Linked DNA regions of Arabidopsis thaliana. The protein of the gene in region 3 binds, or shares a complex with, the protein of the main gene of each other region. Each region holds a gene or a part of one and is shown on either strand. Other genes may lie near its edges.

Region 1 (6,518 bases), on a different chromosome or scaffold from region 3:
TGAGAAGAAAACGGCCAAGGACTTTTACAGTGGTAGTAATTCGTGGATAACTGGGCTGGAAGCCGGTGGGCATGATTTTGTTGAGACCGTCATCAGATACATTCTCTCCGATTCGATGCCTGTAATGACCAAGAGATTTCATGAAATGCCCACTCGAAACATCACTAGCCTGAAGGAAAACATTCGGCAGATGATGCTGAACATGGATAAGAATGTACAACTTGGTGCTTTTCAAGATGCTTTGCAGAACAGGACTGATATAACACTGGAATTGCTTACAAAATCTCATCGCGCTCAGTTGGAGATCTTGGTCGCACTGAAATCTGGGCGTTCTGATTTCCTTCTTTTGGACAACAGCATCTCGTCTTCCCATTTAGCTGAGATTTTCATGAACATGAGATGCAAAAATCTTTCTTGTAGGGTTCTGTTGCCTGTGGACGAATGCGATTGCAGGGTTTGTTCAAGGAAGGATGGATTTTGTAGTGCTTGCATGTGTCTTGTGTGCTCAAATTTTGATATGGCATCCAACACCTGTAGCTGGGTTGGGTGTGATGTGTGCCTACACTGGTGCCACACAGATTGTGGGATAAAAGAGTCTTACATCCGGAATGGGATCAATGCTTCTGGTGCTCCAGGAATGACCGAGATGCAATTTCACTGTGTTGCCTGTAACCATCCCTCAGAGATGTTTGGCTTTGTCAAAGAAGTGTTTCTGAATTTTGCAAGGGAATGGAAATTTGAGCGCTTTTGCAAGGAACTGGAGTATGTCAATAAAATATTTTCATCAAGCAAAGACTCTAGAGGGAAACAGCTGAGACAAGCTGCTGATGCGATGCTGGCAAGTTTGAAAAGTAAATTGATAGGCCTTCCTGAAGCTTGCAATCGCATATTGGGTTTCATTTCAGGTGCGCGAAATTGTATAAATTGTGAGCTTTATCTGGGTATCAAATATGGCTTTATTAGTCTGTTTTAGTATAGATGATCACACAGTGAACACATGTTGGTTAAATTCTTGTGATATATGTGCCATAGATATTCCTTGTAACAATCTGTCGATACTTTGCCTGTTGATTGCAGACTGTGATTCCTCCACTCCTGCTGAAACTAGTGCACCGTTCATATACGAACAGCCAAAACCCAGGCATGAGAGGGGAAGCCCTAGTCAGGACACGGCGTGGCTGAGATCGGTGTGCTCAGATAACCCGCATAATCAGCTGAAAAGGTCAGCGAGCGTAGCTGATGCATTCCACAGAGAGAGGCAAGTTGAAATATGTGCAGTGGAGATGGAGTTGGAAAGGGGTTCACCAAAGGAACCTCGTTTCGAAGAGCTAGAGAGCATTGTGAGAATGAAGCAAGCAGAGGCAGAAATGTTCCAAGGGCGGGCCGATGATGCACGAAGAGAAGCAGAGGGACTGAAACGAATAGCAATAGCGAAGAAGGAGAAGATAGAAGAAGAGTACAATCGGAGAATGGGGAAGTTGAGTATGGAGGATGCACAGGAGAGAAGGAGGAGGAGGTACGAGGAGTTAGAGGCAATGCAGAGAGGGCAGAGAGAGTTTTATGAAATGAAGATGAGAATGGAGGAAGAGATGAGAGGGCTTCTCACCAAAATGGAAATGACGAAGCAGAGTCTGGCCTTGTAATATTTGTAGTAGTAAATCACATGTAATGTACACAGAAACCTCCTCCTCGTATGTAACCTAAAGATCAATGTAAGGTCTTTTCTTTTAGAGAGTACTAAAGAGTTCTGCGTCCTGACATGTACAGCCCCTTGCCAAATTTTAATAGGCAATAGTAAATAAATAACGACAAGAAGCAAATGGCCATCAAAGTGATACAAAGCAGTGAGGCGTGAAAAGATTACTAACAGACTAGACTTGGTGTTTCTCTTCTCTGTCTACACTGGCATTGCCCGTCTCCCAAAAGGACCCCATTTACAAATGGCGTTGTCGATTAGTTCGCAGTGGGAGGCTTGAAGTCTATCATCTCTCTTATGTTCAACTTGATGGAAGGCCCCATTGACGAGCATATGTGAGCGCTTTTCCAGTACACTCCTTTAGCTCCCTTTGGCTTGTTTGTCTCCACCGATTTCTGCATTTCATCATTTACTTTTCCCTCTTCATTTTTTTTTGTATTTTAAACCACAGAAATACGTAATAAGAATGGAGAATTAGCCTACCACTGCTGCAAGGAAGTTTATGAGAAGGTCTTCCTCTGTAAAATTAACTTTCCCAAATGGAATGTGAACAATCCCAGTTTTGTCTGCTCTGAATTCAACTTTCCCCTTCTTGAACTCTTCAATAGCCTGAGAGATTTATGCATCTTTAAGCCATGACTACCAGAATCAGGAAAAGATGTTGCAGAGTAGGCTTACCTGGGGAATGTTCGCTGTGACTGTACCAGCCTTGGGATTTGGCATGAGCCCCCGTGGTCCAAGAATCTTTCCCAGGCCAGCAACCTAAGCGCCAAGTTCAAGAATGTTAGAAAATAGATCACGAGTTACAAGTATCTCATGCCACCTTATTTGCCAAGCATGACGGTTTCATATGCTGTAACAAGTAGAACATTATATCATCAACACATACCTTGACCATCATATCCGGGGATGCAATCAGCTTGTCAAACTCCATGAAGCCTCCTTTAATCTGTTCGATTAAATCATCACTGCCCACAATATCTGCCCCTGCACTTTTGGCTTCATCAACCTTCTCACCTGGAAGTTCAGCATGGAAATGGTGCAAGCCAAAGATTTAGAAAGAATAAGCCACATGATACACAAGAACTCCATCCAATCAATATATAAATAAAAAGTCAATCGCACCAAACAATGTTGCATCTAGAGAAGTACTGACTGACTGACTGATACCGTAAACATTATCTCTGTCCTAAGTCCTAACAGTGAATTTGGTGACTGAAATGGTAAAGCATAATCTCTGTCCTAAGTCCTAGCAGTGAATTTGGTGGGGCAATATACCTTGTGCAAGAACAGCGACTATAACAGTCTGGCCAGTTCCCTTAGGCAGGCTCACCTATACAAAAAGACAATGCATTGAGATTAAAAAATGTTGTGGAATGAAGCAGCACAAGATAGAGTGTATATCCAGCAAAAGGCAAAGCAGACCGTTGCACGCAGCTGCTGGTCATTGTACTTAGGATCGATGTTGAGACGGAAATGGGCTTCAACAGACTCAACAAACCTTGTGTTGGCAGTTTGTTTAAGCAAAGAGATAGCAGTGTTGACATCATACTCCTTTTTGGTTTCCCTTAGCTTTTGGATTTCCAAAAACCTCTTAGACCTTGTCTGTCAATGGGTAAGCAAACAAAGTGATGATTCACGAGTAAAGGAAGCGAAATTGAAGTAGGTAAAGCACATACTCTATCTCTCTTGAGAACCAAAGCGGCTTTTCCTTTCTTAGGCTTGGGCGGATCAAGGACGGCGGTGGCGGTCTGCTCCAGGTCCTCCTCCGTGTCGAGGTCAGCCTCAGCGGCCACGGCGGAGACAATAAACTTGTGGTTGGAAGCTCTGTCAATAGCAGCACATCTCCGGTCCCTGGAACCCCCAAGGAGAAGAAGCGGGAAGCTCAAGTGGTTGGGTCTGGAGCTGGCAAAAGAGAAAAGAGATGGAGTAGGGGTAAGGTCCTGGGAACGAGTGGATGCGGCGGCGTATGCTAGCATGAGAGAGGAGTGAGTAGCGCAAGCAGCCATTGTTGGAGCTCTCTTTCTTTCTGGGTACAAAGAAGAAGAAGAAGAGTGCGAGTCTCCCTAATCCACTCCACGCCCAAGGGGATAACAACACCCCCTATTCTTTCTAAGCTATTATTCTCTGCGTGGCGGGCACCTTAGCTACCGTGTTCCTAGTGACACGTGTCTTCTTATGGACCATTAGATCTTTTAACAACCCACACGCGTATCCTCGTGACCTCTTCTCCTTCTCCTTCTTCTTCTTCCTTCTCTTTTCTCAAAAATCAGATTTCGAGTTTCTTCTTTCCCGCCCGTAAGAGAAACCCTACTCTGACTCTCCACTCCATTTGAGAGGTAAGTTCCGATTCCTTTTCTCTCAGCTTCAAATTTCCTGTGCTACTATTTCCCCAATTTCATTCATCTTCTGCTGACTCATTTTGGGTGTTTCACTGTAGACTGAGCTCGTTCCGATAAGGAGAGGAGATGTCTAACGTAACCGTCTGTGCGCGATTCAGGCCGCGAAGCTCTAAAGAGATGCGCGATCCCAGCAGAGATGGTGTCTGTGCTCGACCCATCGACGCTGAAACCTTCGTTTTCCAAGTTTGTCTACTCGACGCCGTGTGCTTGATTAATATTGTCTCTCTCTCTCTGTCTCTCAAACTCTATCTAGCGTTTTTACTTGCGTGTAGGATGACAAGGAAGATGAATTTACATTTAGCCTCGATAGAGTTTTTTATGAGGACTCTACCCAAGCTGCGGTTTATGAGTTTCTGGCTCTCCCCATCATGAGAGGTACTAATTGATTCCTTGATCTTCTCTTCTGGATTTTAGATCTAAACATTTGAGCACCAATCTTATGATTTTACAATGTAATCAACATTTTTGGTTTTGGTTTCCTCCTACCTTTGTCTTTTGCATCTTTTACCTTTGTACTACTACTACTACTTTCAGACGCTGTAAATGGTATAAACGGAACAATCATCACTTATGGACAGGTTTGTTCTTCTCCTGATCTCTTTTATCTGGAAATGCTTTCAATGTCTTTTTCTTAATTTGGCAGATTTTGATCTCAATTTGATCGTTTCATGTTATACTATGCAGACAGGGGCTGGGAAGACTTATTCCATGGAGGTCACCTAACTCATCTTGATACCTCTTCCTGTAGCACAAGGACCATTCCTTCTTCTGGCTCATTTTGGTTTTCTTCGATTGATTCAGGGACCAGGCATCCAGGACTGTGATGAGCACAATAAAGGACTTCTTCCAAGAGTGGTCCATGGGATGTTTGAGCAAATCAGCTCTTCCAATGATATTGCAAGATACACTGTTAAATTGTCTATGGTACTGACTTAAATGCACTTGCTATAAGTCTCCTTTCAAGCTCTCCTGTATAGACATCTTACGTGTCTTTTGTCTCCTCTAGGTTGAGATCTACATGGAGAAAGTCAGGTATTGTGTATGTAATTCCCTCTGATTTCTTCTAGGGTATATAGCTTATCGATAAATTCATATATCTCTCAGGGACCTGTTGGACTTATCAAAAGCAAACATACAGATCAAGGAGAACAAAACACAAGGAATACTCTTGTCAGGCGTTACAGAGGCTAGCTTCATTGTCTTATATCTTCTATTTGCTAGTGTTGAGAAAAATCTTTACTGGGTAGGCAAGTTTTAATCATTCGTTGCTTCAGGTGCCTGTATCAGATTCGGTGGAGGCATTACAACATCTATGCGTAAGATAGCAGCTACCCTAAGTTTCTTAATTGCCTTATACGGCCTTCTTCTTTCTTATTTCTGATGCCAATTGCCATTTCAGACCGGTTTAGCTAACCGCGCAGTTGGGGAAACCCGTATCCTCTTAGCTTTTACAGCACTTACTTGTTCAATGTTTCCCCATTTAGTCGATAGTGAGATTATGATTATGCTACTCCGAGTTGACTGAAAGGTTAAAACTGATTGAGAGTCATCTTGAAGAATGTTTCCAGTTTAACAATGAATGACAGAAATGAATATGTCCAGCAGTAGAAGCCACTGCGCCTACTTGTTCACAATCCAGCAGGATTCAGTTAAAGATAAAAGGTAACGATTTTTTACAATTAATCAGAAAAAAGTGATGCTGTAGTGGTGGAGCTTATATACATATCTGGCATGTGAACAGGGTAAAAACAGGAAAACTGATTCTTGTCGACCTGGCTGGCTCAGAGAAAGCAGACAAAACTGGAGCAGAAGGTAGGGTTCTTGAAGAAGCGAAGACGATCAATAAATCGCTCTCAGCCTTGGGGAACGTGATAAACGCTCTCACTAGTGGGCCATCTAGCAAAGGGAATCACATACCATATCGTGACTCCAAGCTTACTCGCATCTTACAGGATGCCCTGGTTAGTATATCTTCTCAGGTTGATTTTATTTTATAATTTTCTAGCTTGTTCTCAATTCTATTGTGGTCTCTCATGCCACAGGGTGGAAATTCTCGAATGGCGCTGCTTTGCTGTTGCTCACCAAGCACTTTAAATGCATCTGAGACGCTCTCAACTCTCAGGTTTGGCATGAGGTATGCATCTCAGAGCACAGTAACGGTTTCTTGCTCCATGTGTTACGTTATTGAACGTGTTTAAGAGAGATGTTTGCTTCCATTTACTGTACAGGGCAAAACACATAAAAGCATCACCACGTGCTAGTGAAGTGAAATCTGCGAAGGCACAGGAGGAACCCTCCTCGGTTACCAAAGATGAAAAATGTGGGAGGATCCTAGAAAAGGTTAAGACTCTACGTCAGCCATTTCCTCATTCTCTCTAATATTCAGAAAACGGGATGTAGAAGATACATTTGCATTATTG
Region 2 (5,440 bases), on a different chromosome or scaffold from region 3:
TTTGTTTTGTCTCTCTTCCTATGAAAACAATGATTAGTTTGTTTACTAATTGCCATCCATAACTAATTAATTGTGGTATCGAAACAATATTTTCACTATATAGAAACTTGCACGAAGATAAAGTGACTGATCCACTTAAAGATACTGAATTTGCTATAGAATATACTGAACATATTTCAACTTACTATAATTTAACGATGCCAGATATAACGCAATATTCGACTTCATATTTGAGGATAAAGTTGATTATATTACATGGATATGGATTTATCTAAACTAGTCCATGAGAAGCCCACTAATCTTTTTAAGAATACACGTGAAAGTCACGCGCCGTCAAAGTAAAAGAATAACAGACTTATCCACACATTAACGAGGTTCGTGGATCCCGAACAAAAGAATAACAGGAAAATGGTCGAGAACCACGTGAAAATAAGATGAGTCATGTGCCCTAACAGGACTTTTTACACAATACACATAGTATAGGGGGGTATATATGCAAATATTTTAATTAAGTTAATAGCTTAATTCATAATTATTATAAAATTGAGGGAGCTATTAGTGTTTACTGCAGACAAAGGCTGATTTGGAAAGATCAACAGAGTCAGATAACTGTCCCCGAACAAACAAACATACGAAGTGCATTATTTTCGACAAATGAACGCAACGAACATTTAAATTGTATTTGTCCCAGCAAAATTAAAATTTATTTAATCCAACACATTGTATTTATTCCAACATAATTAACAAACTAATTAGATATGGTTAGACATATAGTTTAACTAACCCAACACAGCGTCTTTCATCAATCTTATGCTAGGAAACAGGAGACCATTAGTTTATCTTAAAACACCTTCTTTTTGTGTGTCTAAAGTCTTTAAGATAATATTTTAAGACTCAATTTTAGTCAAGATCGCAAATCATTGATAAGAAAGGATCTAAGACTTCAACCAACGAATGAATTTAGTTTAACTCAATTATTCAGATTCAACTGCATCGATCAGCATATGAAGTATGTAGAGATGTCAAAACCCAATTTACTAACGGATTAAAAAGCCCACAGGTTTTCCTTTTGAACTTCAGTGAAAACTTTGGTAGCTTAGTTAAGAAGCAGAAGACTCCAGCTGAGAGGAAATGGGCCTAAAATAGCCCACACATTCGACTGTCTTCAAATGGGCTTGAGACGGCCTGATATTGGTTTGGCTTGATATTGGTAAAACCTCTGATTGAGCTGGAGTATTCTGTTTCTGTTCAATATTGGTCACACAAATTCAGTAGTAGTATACAATTGGGCATGATCACAGAATCTTCAACTTCAAGTGCCAAAAATTTTCTTTTATGTTCTCAAGCAAAACATACTCCTACGCCATGGCCACAGTTCAAGAATCTGCTCACTATTAGTACGCCACTTCGTCGTCAGAAGACAAATGTTTTGCCTGATAACTTCAGCAGACACTTACATAGACCATGATCATCATGTTCAACATCTTATAAATCTATGTAAAAATGATCTCAATCAACTAATCAACACACCACTTACACATCAACAACAACTACCTACACTAGTCATTAATCTCATGCCATAACTTTCCAAGATTATCACAAAATGTGGCAAAAGCCACAACCTTTCTTTCATTTGCAATTACCATTTCATAGGCATTGTTGCTATGTTTCTCTCACCAGTGTATATCTATCTATTATCCATCACAAATTCATGCCAAACTCACAAGCTAAAGATTTGTCCTTGAGATTCGCTACTACTTGTATCATTGCTCTGAGATCCTAGTCTCACTCTCAATGAAACCAAATAGATCTTAAAGAAAGCATAACCAATAGCATTCAGAAGAAAATTCACATACAATTTTTAACAGCCTAAGCAGTATCTCGACTTCAATTGAAAAGACAACAAATTCAAAGACATAAGCTTTACCAGAAAAGACTCATCATTTCTTCTTCCCTTTGGGACCTTTACTTTTCTTAGTAGGCATAATGATTTCTCCTTTAAGCACAGGAATCTCCATAATCTCAGAAAGCCCAGCGAACCTCTTACGAAACTTCTCAACTTGATCAGCATCAACCATCAAAGCCGAACGATTCCCGAGGTAAAACGGATGGTTACCTGACCATACATCAACCACATACTCTTTCTTTGTTCCTCCTGTAGTCATCACCAGCTCTCCATTGCAGTAAACCTTTGCGTCTTCGTGGAATTCAGGATGCAATTCCTTCTTACGACACGTTATCTGAACCACCGTATTGCTGCTTCTTCTCACCGATTGTTTTCCTCCTTTCACTGCCGCCATCACCGGCTAATTTTGAAAAAAAAACACAAACAAATTTAGTGATTTTGGGGAAGGAGGAGAAATAGACGAAGAATGAGAAATCGATTTCGAGCTTACCTTTCTTAATTGCAGAGAAGGAACACATGGGCTAATCTGAAGAAACGAGTTCGGGAGAGAAACCGCCATTTTTGTCTTCAGGAGCTATCTTCTTCTTTTTTCCTGGTGATAGAGAAGAAACGAAGTAACGATTGATGGATAAGAGAATGAGGATGATGAAGTGTATTGGAGTTACGTTTATAACCCTAAATACTTTGAAGATATGTAAGGGTAATATGGTAATTTACATAGAGACTTCCTTTTGTTCTGTTGATACACTCTTCGTCAATCTAACGCTTCTTCATTTTTCTCGAGAGAAGCAAAACTACATATATATATACGCACATACGTACACAGTTCGAAGGTTTTAGCTGCGAGTATGAGGAAGGAACTGTGTAGAAACTTTCAGCGTGGCAGGTAAATACTCTTTTCATCATCATCATCTTCTTCTTCATCTGTTCTAGTTTTTGTTTTGATTCAATTTGTTGTTTTATAAGAGTTTTTGAAGTTTGTTTCGATTGCTGAAGTTTAGGTTTCGTGTTCTATATTCTGGGGTTTAATTTGAAATCAATCGATGTGCGAAGGTGGTAATGTGTTAGAAAACGATGTCTATTGAGCTGAAATCTAAATGAATCATACAGTTTATTGACTTTGATAGATTCTAATCTTCGTTTCCGCCATTAATGAGGGTTGATTTGCTTCGGAAGTTATGATTAGTGATAGTAGAAGCTTAGAGACGTAATTATTGGACTCATCGTCCTTTGTGCTGTTTTTGCAGTTGTAGGTATGGGGAAAACTGTAGATTTCTTCATCCACAACAAGCTAAGCCAAATAATCCCTTTGGCTTTGGTACACAAAACCAACAACAACAACAGCAGCAGCAGCAACAAAATAGTTCGAACCCTTTTGGATTTGGTGTACAAAGTGGTGGTTCCAGCAGACCGAATCAGTTCCAGGTCAATTTGTTTTTTTCCTCTTTTAAGATGCAAGTATTGCTTTGATAGAATGCAAGTTATCGTTCGGCTTTGGATGAGAAAAATGGTGCATCTTCTTTAAGAAACGAAAGCATTTTGCCTGTTGAATGAATGGTGACATGATGATGCTTTTGCAAATCAGAATACTTGGTCACGAACGGCTTCTACACCTACTGGTGGTGGTGCTGCTGCTTCTACACAGCAGACTGGTAAACAGACGCAGCCGGCAGATCATAAGTGAGTGTATATATGTTTACATATGCTTGTTCTATCAATTATCATCCTTTTAGCCGTTTGTTTCTTTGGAAATTTACTGTTTCTCTCTTGGTTACTATACAAAGATGCACAGATCCTGCTGCGTGTAAGCGGGTAATGCAAGACGATTTTAAGAATGAGAGACCCATGTGGAAGCTCACATGCTACGGCCACTGGAAATAGTATGTATTACTTCATTTGGTTTAGCATCCTTGATCTTTATCCATTCTTTATAAACGTGTCTGATTTTTTCTATCTTTTTTTTCTTCTAGTTTTCCATGTGATGTTACCGGTGATATCAGCTATGAAGAACTACGTGCAGTGGCATATGAAGAAGCTAAACGAGGAATACCTCTACAGTCGATTGTGAGATTAACCTTTCTTGTGTTTGTTATACTTTACACTGGTTTTCATTTCATACTGATAAGACATAAGTTGATTTCCTCTTTTCCTGGCTTATTATGGTGCATTATATAGGTTGAAAGGGAGAGGAATCTGCAAAATTCCAAAATAGCCGAGTTTGAAAACTTTCTACGGAATCCATACAAAGGCTCTGTTACCGCCAATCAAAGCCCGTTTGCTGCAACCACTCCTAGTATCTTCCCTCAGTCCAGTCAGATCAATTCCCCTTCTCCAGCATTCTCTGGCTTTAATCAACAAACTGCATTCTCCAATACCAATGCGGGTGGACTCAGGTATCAACTTTTGTGGGATTTCTCCAATTTTCATATCCCAAAAAGTTTGTGTTGCCTTCAAACTAACTCTCGGTTTCCATTTTTCCTCGACATAGTTCATCTGGACCTCCGAATGCCTTTGCAAGCTTCAATCAACAAACTACATTCCCCAATACCAATGCTGGTGGAGTCAGGTACTAACTTTCTCCATATTCCATATTCAAACAAGTTTGTGTTACCTTTATAACCTCTTGGTTCCCATATTTCTCTTTGGCCAACTATTCCTCTGCATAGTTCATCTGGACCTCCGAACCCCTTTGCAAGCTTTACTCAACAATCAAATAATCAACAAACTGCATTCTCCAATACCAACGCTGGTGGTCTCAGGTATCAACTTTTGTGGGCTTTCTCCATTTTCCAAATTCCGTAAAGGGGTGCCTTCATGAAAACTCTGTTTCCATATTTCTCTCTGGCCAATGATTCCTCTACATAGTTCATCTGGACCTCCGAATGCCTTTGCAAGCTTTAATAAACAACCAAATGCTTTCAGCGTCAACACTCCTCAACCTGTTCCTTCAGGTACTACTTCTAATGTTAAACTTTGCTTAAAGGCCAAGAGACTCGCCATCATCTGAAACCTCTTTTGCAAATGATCACAGGTCCCTCTGGTTTCCAAACCAATCCATCAACAACATTCAAACCAGCATCATTTGGACCTGGACCCGGATTTGCCACAACTCCACAAAACAATAACATCTTTGGTCAATCAACTCCAACACCGGCTACAAACACTTCCCAGAACAATCAGACCGCATTCAACTTCAATGTCCCTGTTGCATCTTTTACTGCTCCTGCTATAAACACGACAAATACATCTTCCGGGTAAGTCCTCAATCTGTTTCCAGGTTTTTTCTATAGTTAAAAACCGTTGTTGAACATGTTGACAGAGTTAATCAAAACATACTATGATGTTTCATACGTTTCTAACTTGAATCATTTGCGGCAGAACCGAGCTGCAAATAGGTGGTGATCCTGTTGATAGTAGTATCTGGCTAAAGGAGAAATGGAATCCAGGGGAGGTAAATTGCTCAAAACTAATCATTTAAGTTGTTTCCAAAAAATTTATTGCTCTTAGATTAATTTGTTGCTTTTGTTGTGCAGA
Region 3 (6,183 bases):
GAACACTTTTTTGCAGAAAGACATAATTCGTAGGAGTATTTTATAGGTCATATATAACAACAAGGTAACTATTCAGAATACTAGTCCACCTTGTTACTGTAGTAACGTCATCATACAGCATGTAAAGAATAGGATACGAGTAAGCTCCGGCTACCTGAGTCCCGGTCTGACTGTGAATCACTATCTTTATCATTCCATCCACCAGAGCGCCCTTCCCATCTTCCATGGGTGCCTCGAGAGTTAGTACCTAATTCCCCCCTGGTGGGAGGCGATGAACTATAGTCATTCCGCCTGAAACCATGCGACGAAAAATCGCCTGAAATTCTTGCTCGCTCGGGTGAAGGATCTTCGAAGTCACTACTCAAATAAAGAGTGTACAAATCAAGACATGTCACTCCAACATGATCAAACACATTTACACAGTTTCTAGAAATCCAAACTAAAAAAAAAACTATCGGATAGAGTCTCACAGCAACAGTGCTTCATCAAATTCACCAGGCAGATTTGGCAGCTTCTTGCAAACGTCTTTCTCGCTCAAGGATATAAGAAACTTCCTCGTGTATGTAATTCTTGGTTTCCTGAAAACAATTGCAACTGCAGCTGAGAAATGTACAATAAGCAGCAAAACAGAGACATGGATTTTACAAAAAACAGAAAAAACATACTTTTCCGAATCATCATTGGTTTCGACAAGTTGATCCATGGCAAATTGTTGTTCATTTGCTATACTCATCATACAATGCACAAAAATCTTAGCTGATTGAGGCCAAAAAACACCAGTATCTCTTCTTAACGCCTTAATCAAGTAACTCTACAGTAGTTGTCTATAGTAAATACCGTGAAATATGATTCTTCGATATTACAGTAACCACCAATAATATCTCAACTAGCAAAACTTAAACCACGATTCACCACCACGCAACTTCATCAGGATCTAGCTATATGTACAGTGAAAGATTTCAGAGAAGAGAAATTACAGCTCAAAGCCAAAGAAAACTAGCTCATCCTAAACTCACAAGGCTTTAATCTCTCGTATCGGATTCTCTCACCCAACCAAAATAAATAAAAACCTCAAATCGGGAAAAGATGAAAACAGATTATAACATTTCTGCAGTAATCTAAGGTCTTCGACAGCTAGGGTTTTTAGCGCTAATGGGGAATTACATGGATTCCAGAATCCATCAGAAAAGGATAATTAGAAAGAAAAAAAAGTAAGAGTCGCCGATTCTAGAAGAACAAAAGGAGAACGGAGAAACCAATTAGGGTTTCGATCTGCAGAAAGATAATTTTGCTGTTGCTGTTTGTTTTGATCGATTGATGATGAAAAAGAGAAGATCGAAACCAAGTCTTACAAAGAAGAGCGATTTCTCTCAAAGGGGAAGGTAAAATTGACAAATCCACGCGCTAGCTTTTCACGTTCACTCACGCGCTACATTTTGTATAATCCACAAAACTTTCAATAAATTACAGAAAAACCTTGATAAATTTTTACCATAACAACAAGATCCCTGATATTATTTTCAAATTGACTCATAAAGCATTACAAAAGGAGATGGTTTTTCTGAAACATGAAATGGTTGGTTACAGAAGACGATACATACAATAGGCAGCTATGTTCATCATCTCTTTCCTTTTCCTTTAGCATCAAAGTGATGAGACTTTAGTTTCTTCTTCCGCACTATCGCGCCTGTGCTGCCACCACCTCCTTCCCTGAAAGGCATTCCCATTAGAGCCAATAGTTTCTGTCCTTCTTGATCGCTTTTAGCCGTTGTGCTGATGCATACATCCATTCCTCTCGTTTTTCCAACGGCATCAAACCTAGAGTGTAATAAACCAACCAACCAACATAGAGTTTAGTTGCTCGGTTGTAAACAAAGAGTGGGACTAAAGAGAAACCATGCTTGATCTTGTTGAACCAGCGGATAACAAGTTAGTAGTTTTGATTTTGAGGGTAGATACAATAGAACTAACCTGATTTCAGGGAATACACCTTGGTCTTTCACACCAATACTGTAGTTTCCGTTCCCATCAAAGCTACTGGGACTCACACCTTGGAAATCTCGAGTTCTCGGAAGGGCTAAGTTGATAAGACGATCCAAGAAGGAGTACATTACCTGTCACAACAGTCAAAATCACAAAATGTTAATACATAAATAACTCAAAAGGAAAGTTTGATTAGTCAAGAGAAATATAGCTCACATCTCCTCTGAGAGTGACAGCAATCCCAAGAGGTTGATCTTCCCTGATCTTGAAAGTAGCAATGGAAGCTCTAGCTCGTGTCTTAATAGGTTTCTGCCCTGTGATAAGCGCGATATCCTTCATCGCAGCCTCCAAACCCTTGTCGTTCTGCGCCGCATCTCCAATACCACAATTCACTACAATCTTCTGTACCTTTGGAACCTGGTAGAGAAGATGTCCAAGCAGATATACAACAATGATGAGATTGACAAATTCACATTCACATTTGTAAATGGCACATCCCAACAGCACGATTTTATCAACACAACAATCTTAAATCTAGGCTTCTTCACTACATTTTCTAGAAGAAATCAATTCAAACTTATCATTAAAAGCAAATTAGGTTTAACATTCGCTCAAAAAATTCGAATTCACTGAGAATTAGACTTCAATCAATCGCAACAGAACAAAAACTAGGTTTGAGCTCAGAGGGGAAGGATTTGGGGTTACCTGGTGAATATTAACGTACTTGAACTCTTCTTTGAGCGCAGGGATAATCCTCTCGAGGTAAGCGGTTTTGAGGCGTTGAGTTTTCTCGGCTTCAGATTTCTCGACCAGTACAGTTCCAGACGCCGAGACTTTCACCACGTTTCTGAGCGGCGGAGAGAGCATTCGTGCGGAGGATGGAGCCGCTAATGGTGAGAAACGTCCGTGAAACGAAGAAGCGGAAGACTGCAGAAGCGAAGGAGACGCCATTGTCGAAGCTCCAAGTGGATAAAGTGTGAAGTGAGAGCTCTCGGCGTTCGTTGTTGATTAAACCCAATGGCACCTTCGTAATTTGTTGACAGTTTGAGGATAAGGAGTTTTCCGTTTAGCCCCTTTAAAACATAATATTTCAACTAAGGCCCCAATATTTGATAATATACTATTATACTTAGAGATTTTAGATAAAATATAGGGGTTGTTTCATATGGGCCTAAATCTCAGCCCGTTTACTATTTGGGCTTCTAAGGTATAACCCGTACCCGTGTTTTTGTTGTTTTACATATCCACACCGACCTGAGAAGAGTCAAAAACGAAAAACCTCTCTTTTGTCGTTCCTCTGCTTTCTTCGATTTGCTTCTGCTTTCTTCGATTTGCTTCTGCTTTCATCGCGGTTCAGGTCACTCTTTTCTCAGCCATGGCGATTCCTTTCATGGAAACCGTCGTGGGTAAGCTTCAAAACCTTTTTCTGAGACATTTTACTATCCTGTTTCACTCATCGTATTTCGTTTTTGTTTGGGTTTTGCTTTCTGTGTTGTGTGTGTTGAGATTCCATGACTCGTTTGTTTCATATACCATCGTCTCTGCTTCTCGTTTCTAAATTTTGTTCTTTTCTAATAGTGCGTACCTTGATCTGAGGTTTTATTACTCCTACTAGTTTCTTGTCTTACTCGTGCGTTTGATTTGATTTGAGCTTATGTGATTTCATCATCTCTTCCTCGGTTTTAGAATGTACGGAGCTTCTCTGTTAACCAAAATCTAGGATTTGGGAAGAAAAGTCGGAGTCTTTTTTTTCCTCATTCCCGATTGGAAATTGAGAATCTTGAAATTTTTCTTTGTTCAAGTCATACAGCTTGAGGTTTTGGGTTTTCTTGTCAGGGTATTATTATGTTCGTGACTGCAACTAGAGTTTTCTGGAGTTTTTTGAAATGGGTTTTGTGTTGTGGAACCGTATGTGAATGTTGCATCAAAACTCTTTCAGTGCTCCAATGTTTCCATCAGTAGTCAGCACAAGAGATCTTTTTATATCTGGTTGATCAAAAAAGTAGATGATGTTATTGAATTTTCAGTGATGGAGTATCTGTTGTTGTGGCATTTAGAGTAGATTCGTATTTCATCTTCTGTTTTATTCTTTTTCTTACAGGTTTTATGATAGTGATGTACATTTTTGAGACGTATTTGGATCTGAGGCAACTCACTGCTCTCAAGCTTCCAACTCTCCCGAAAACCTTGGTTGGTGTAATTAGCCAAGAGAAGTTTGAGAAATCACGAGCATACAGTCTTGACAAAAGGTTTCGTCTTGATCATATTTATATCATTTTAGTTTTTTATAATTGCCAGGGGATATCATCACTGAGAACTTTAATATATGCAGCTATTTTCACTTTGTTCATGAGTTTGTAACTATACTTATGGACTCTGCAATTTTGTTCTTTGGGATCTTGCCTTGGTTTTGGAAGGTACATATCTGGTTTCGGTATACAGTATCTCATTTTGAATATAGAGTTGTTACATTACAATTGTAAAGTTTTCATTTTTACCTTAGATGTCTGGAGCTGTTTTACCGAGGTTGGGCCTTGATCCAGAGAATGAAATACTGCATACTCTTTCATTCTTGGCTGGTGTTATGACATGGTCACAGGTGTTCCAAATAAACCCCTTCATATAGTCCTATACGTTTAGCATCAAAATATCTATTTTCTTAAGATAATAATATTTCTTTTATATTCTGATGCAGATCACTGATTTGCCATTTTCTTTGTACTCAACTTTCGTGATCGAGTCTCGGCATGGGTTCAACAAAGTATGTCGTATTTCCAACACTACCTTGTGACTTACGTTTTTTTATCAGAGATGTGGATTAAATTTGCTTCTAAATTCTGTTGACAGCAAACAATATGGATGTTCATTAGGGACATGATCAAAGGAACATTCCTCTCTGTCATACTAGGCCCACCCATTGTTGCTGCGATAATTTTCATAGTCCAGGTTTGATGATTCTGGATTCATCTTATTTCTGAGTTTTTCACATGGATGACTATTCTCCATTGAGTGTGAGCTTCAAAGTTTTTAGTTTTCGTGTTAAAAATTTAAAATTTGCTTCTCTGAGCATGAAGTTTCTATCTTTTTCCAGAAAGGAGGTCCTTATCTTGCCATCTATCTGTGGGCATTCATGTTTATCCTGTCTCTAGTGATGATGACTATATACCCGGTCTTGATAGCACCGCTCTTCAACAAGTTCACTCCTGTGTGTATTTCTGTCATGGCCATTTTACAATTCACTGCTTGTTTGCATATGTTGTTACCAGACAATATAATCTCCCGCTTTTTTATGGCTATAGCTTCCAGATGGAGACCTCCGGGAGAAGATTGAGAAACTTGCTTCTTCTCTAAAGTTTCCTTTGAAGAAGCTGTTTGTTGTCGATGGATCTACAAGGTCAAGCCATAGCAATGTGAGAAGCTTGAGATCTCTTCCTACCTACTTTACTCTAGTTTACCATTAGAAGCTTACGTATCTTGTTACATCATACAGGCTTACATGTATGGTTTCTTTAAGAACAAAAGGATTGTTCTTTATGATACGTTGATTCAGCAGGTACTGTGACTCTTGATGCTTCAAACGAGCTATACTCACATTTCTGTTTCTGGTTCTGAAACATAACATAATCTTCTATTGTGCAGTGCAAGAATGAGGATGAAATTGTGGCGGTTATTGCACACGAGCTTGGACATTGGAAACTGAATCACACTACATACTCGTTCATTGCAGTTCAAGTGAGGCTCAACCGACAGTTCAAAAACTTACTCACATCTACATTTCACTTAAGAAATCATGTCTTATGACCCTCTCTCAATGTTTTGCTTGCAGATCCTTGCCTTCTTACAATTTGGAGGATACACTCTTGTCAGAAACTCCACTGATCTCTTCAGGAGTTTCGGATTTGATACACAGCCTGTTCTCATTGGTTTGATCATATTTCAGGTTTGTTATTTTTGCCTTTTGACACTAATCTAATGAATCAAGGATGGATTAAGAAAAAAAAACTCTAAACCTTTGGTTATATCTCCTGTCTGATTATCACAGCACACTGTAATACCACTGCAACATCTAGTAAGCTTTGGCCTGAACCTCGTTAGTCGAGCGTTTGAGTTTCAGGTACCATCTTACAATCCCTCAAGATCCAACCATAGTTTCTTTATTGCAATGGCAGCCTCATCTACTAATCTGAGTTAACGTTCCTT

Evidence for each region. Proteins that work in one complex are often made in the same cells at the same time.
Region 1: AT4G01310 (region 3) and EMB3126 share a complex: the UniProt entries of both Arabidopsis thaliana proteins name them as parts of the 50S ribosomal subunit.
Region 2: AT4G01310 (region 3) and emb2184 share a complex: the UniProt entries of both Arabidopsis thaliana proteins name them as parts of the 50S ribosomal subunit.

Annotation. Positions count from the first base shown.
Region 1 is NC_003074.8:23,441,456-23,447,973, reverse strand, and holds EMB3126 (Ribosomal protein L1p/L10e family), read right to left. Parts: upstream 3,772-6,518; 5' UTR 3,706-3,771; coding exon 3,376-3,705; intron 3,302-3,375; coding exon 3,122-3,301; intron 3,030-3,121; coding exon 2,975-3,029; exon of another isoform or gene 2,714-2,974; coding exon 2,586-2,713; intron 2,459-2,585; coding exon 2,375-2,458; intron 2,306-2,374; coding exon 2,180-2,305; intron 2,092-2,179; coding exon 1,954-2,091; 3' UTR 1,644-1,953; downstream 1-1,643. Other genes in the region: TTA2 (fibronectin type III domain protein (DUF1423)), read left to right, coding at 1-905, 1,078-1,643; AT3G63480 (ATP binding microtubule motor family protein), read left to right, coding at 4,165-4,281, 4,371-4,473, 4,633-4,676, 4,783-4,812, 4,900-5,022, 5,105-5,130, 5,203-5,296, 5,373-5,414 and 5 more. UniProt on the Arabidopsis thaliana protein: This protein binds directly to 23S ribosomal RNA.
Region 2 is NC_003070.9:28,269,188-28,274,627, reverse strand, and holds emb2184 (Ribosomal protein L31), read right to left. Parts: upstream 2,558-5,440; 5' UTR 2,466-2,557; coding exon 2,397-2,465; intron 2,307-2,396; coding exon 1,941-2,306; 3' UTR 1,619-1,940; downstream 1-1,618. Other genes in the region: AT1G75340 (Zinc finger C-x8-C-x5-C-x3-H type family protein), read left to right, coding at 2,755-2,792, 3,154-3,331, 3,492-3,586, 3,691-3,786, 3,877-3,970, 4,082-4,299, 4,395-4,472, 4,573-4,665 and 4 more. UniProt on the Arabidopsis thaliana protein: Binds the 23S rRNA.
Region 3 is NC_003075.7:542,547-548,729, forward strand, and holds AT4G01310 (Ribosomal L5P family protein), read right to left. Parts: upstream 3,021-6,183; 5' UTR 2,935-3,020; coding exon 2,689-2,934; intron 2,401-2,688; coding exon 2,200-2,400; intron 2,115-2,199; coding exon 1,972-2,114; intron 1,819-1,971; coding exon 1,620-1,818; 3' UTR 1,365-1,619; downstream 1-1,364. Other genes in the region: AT4G01290 (chorismate synthase), read right to left, coding at 155-357, 471-578, 666-736; ATSTE24 (Peptidase family M48 family protein), read left to right, coding at 3,359-3,389, 4,085-4,232, 4,316-4,400, 4,487-4,582, 4,679-4,744, 4,831-4,929, 5,075-5,188, 5,283-5,393 and 4 more. UniProt on the Arabidopsis thaliana protein: Binds 5S rRNA, forms part of the central protuberance of the 50S subunit.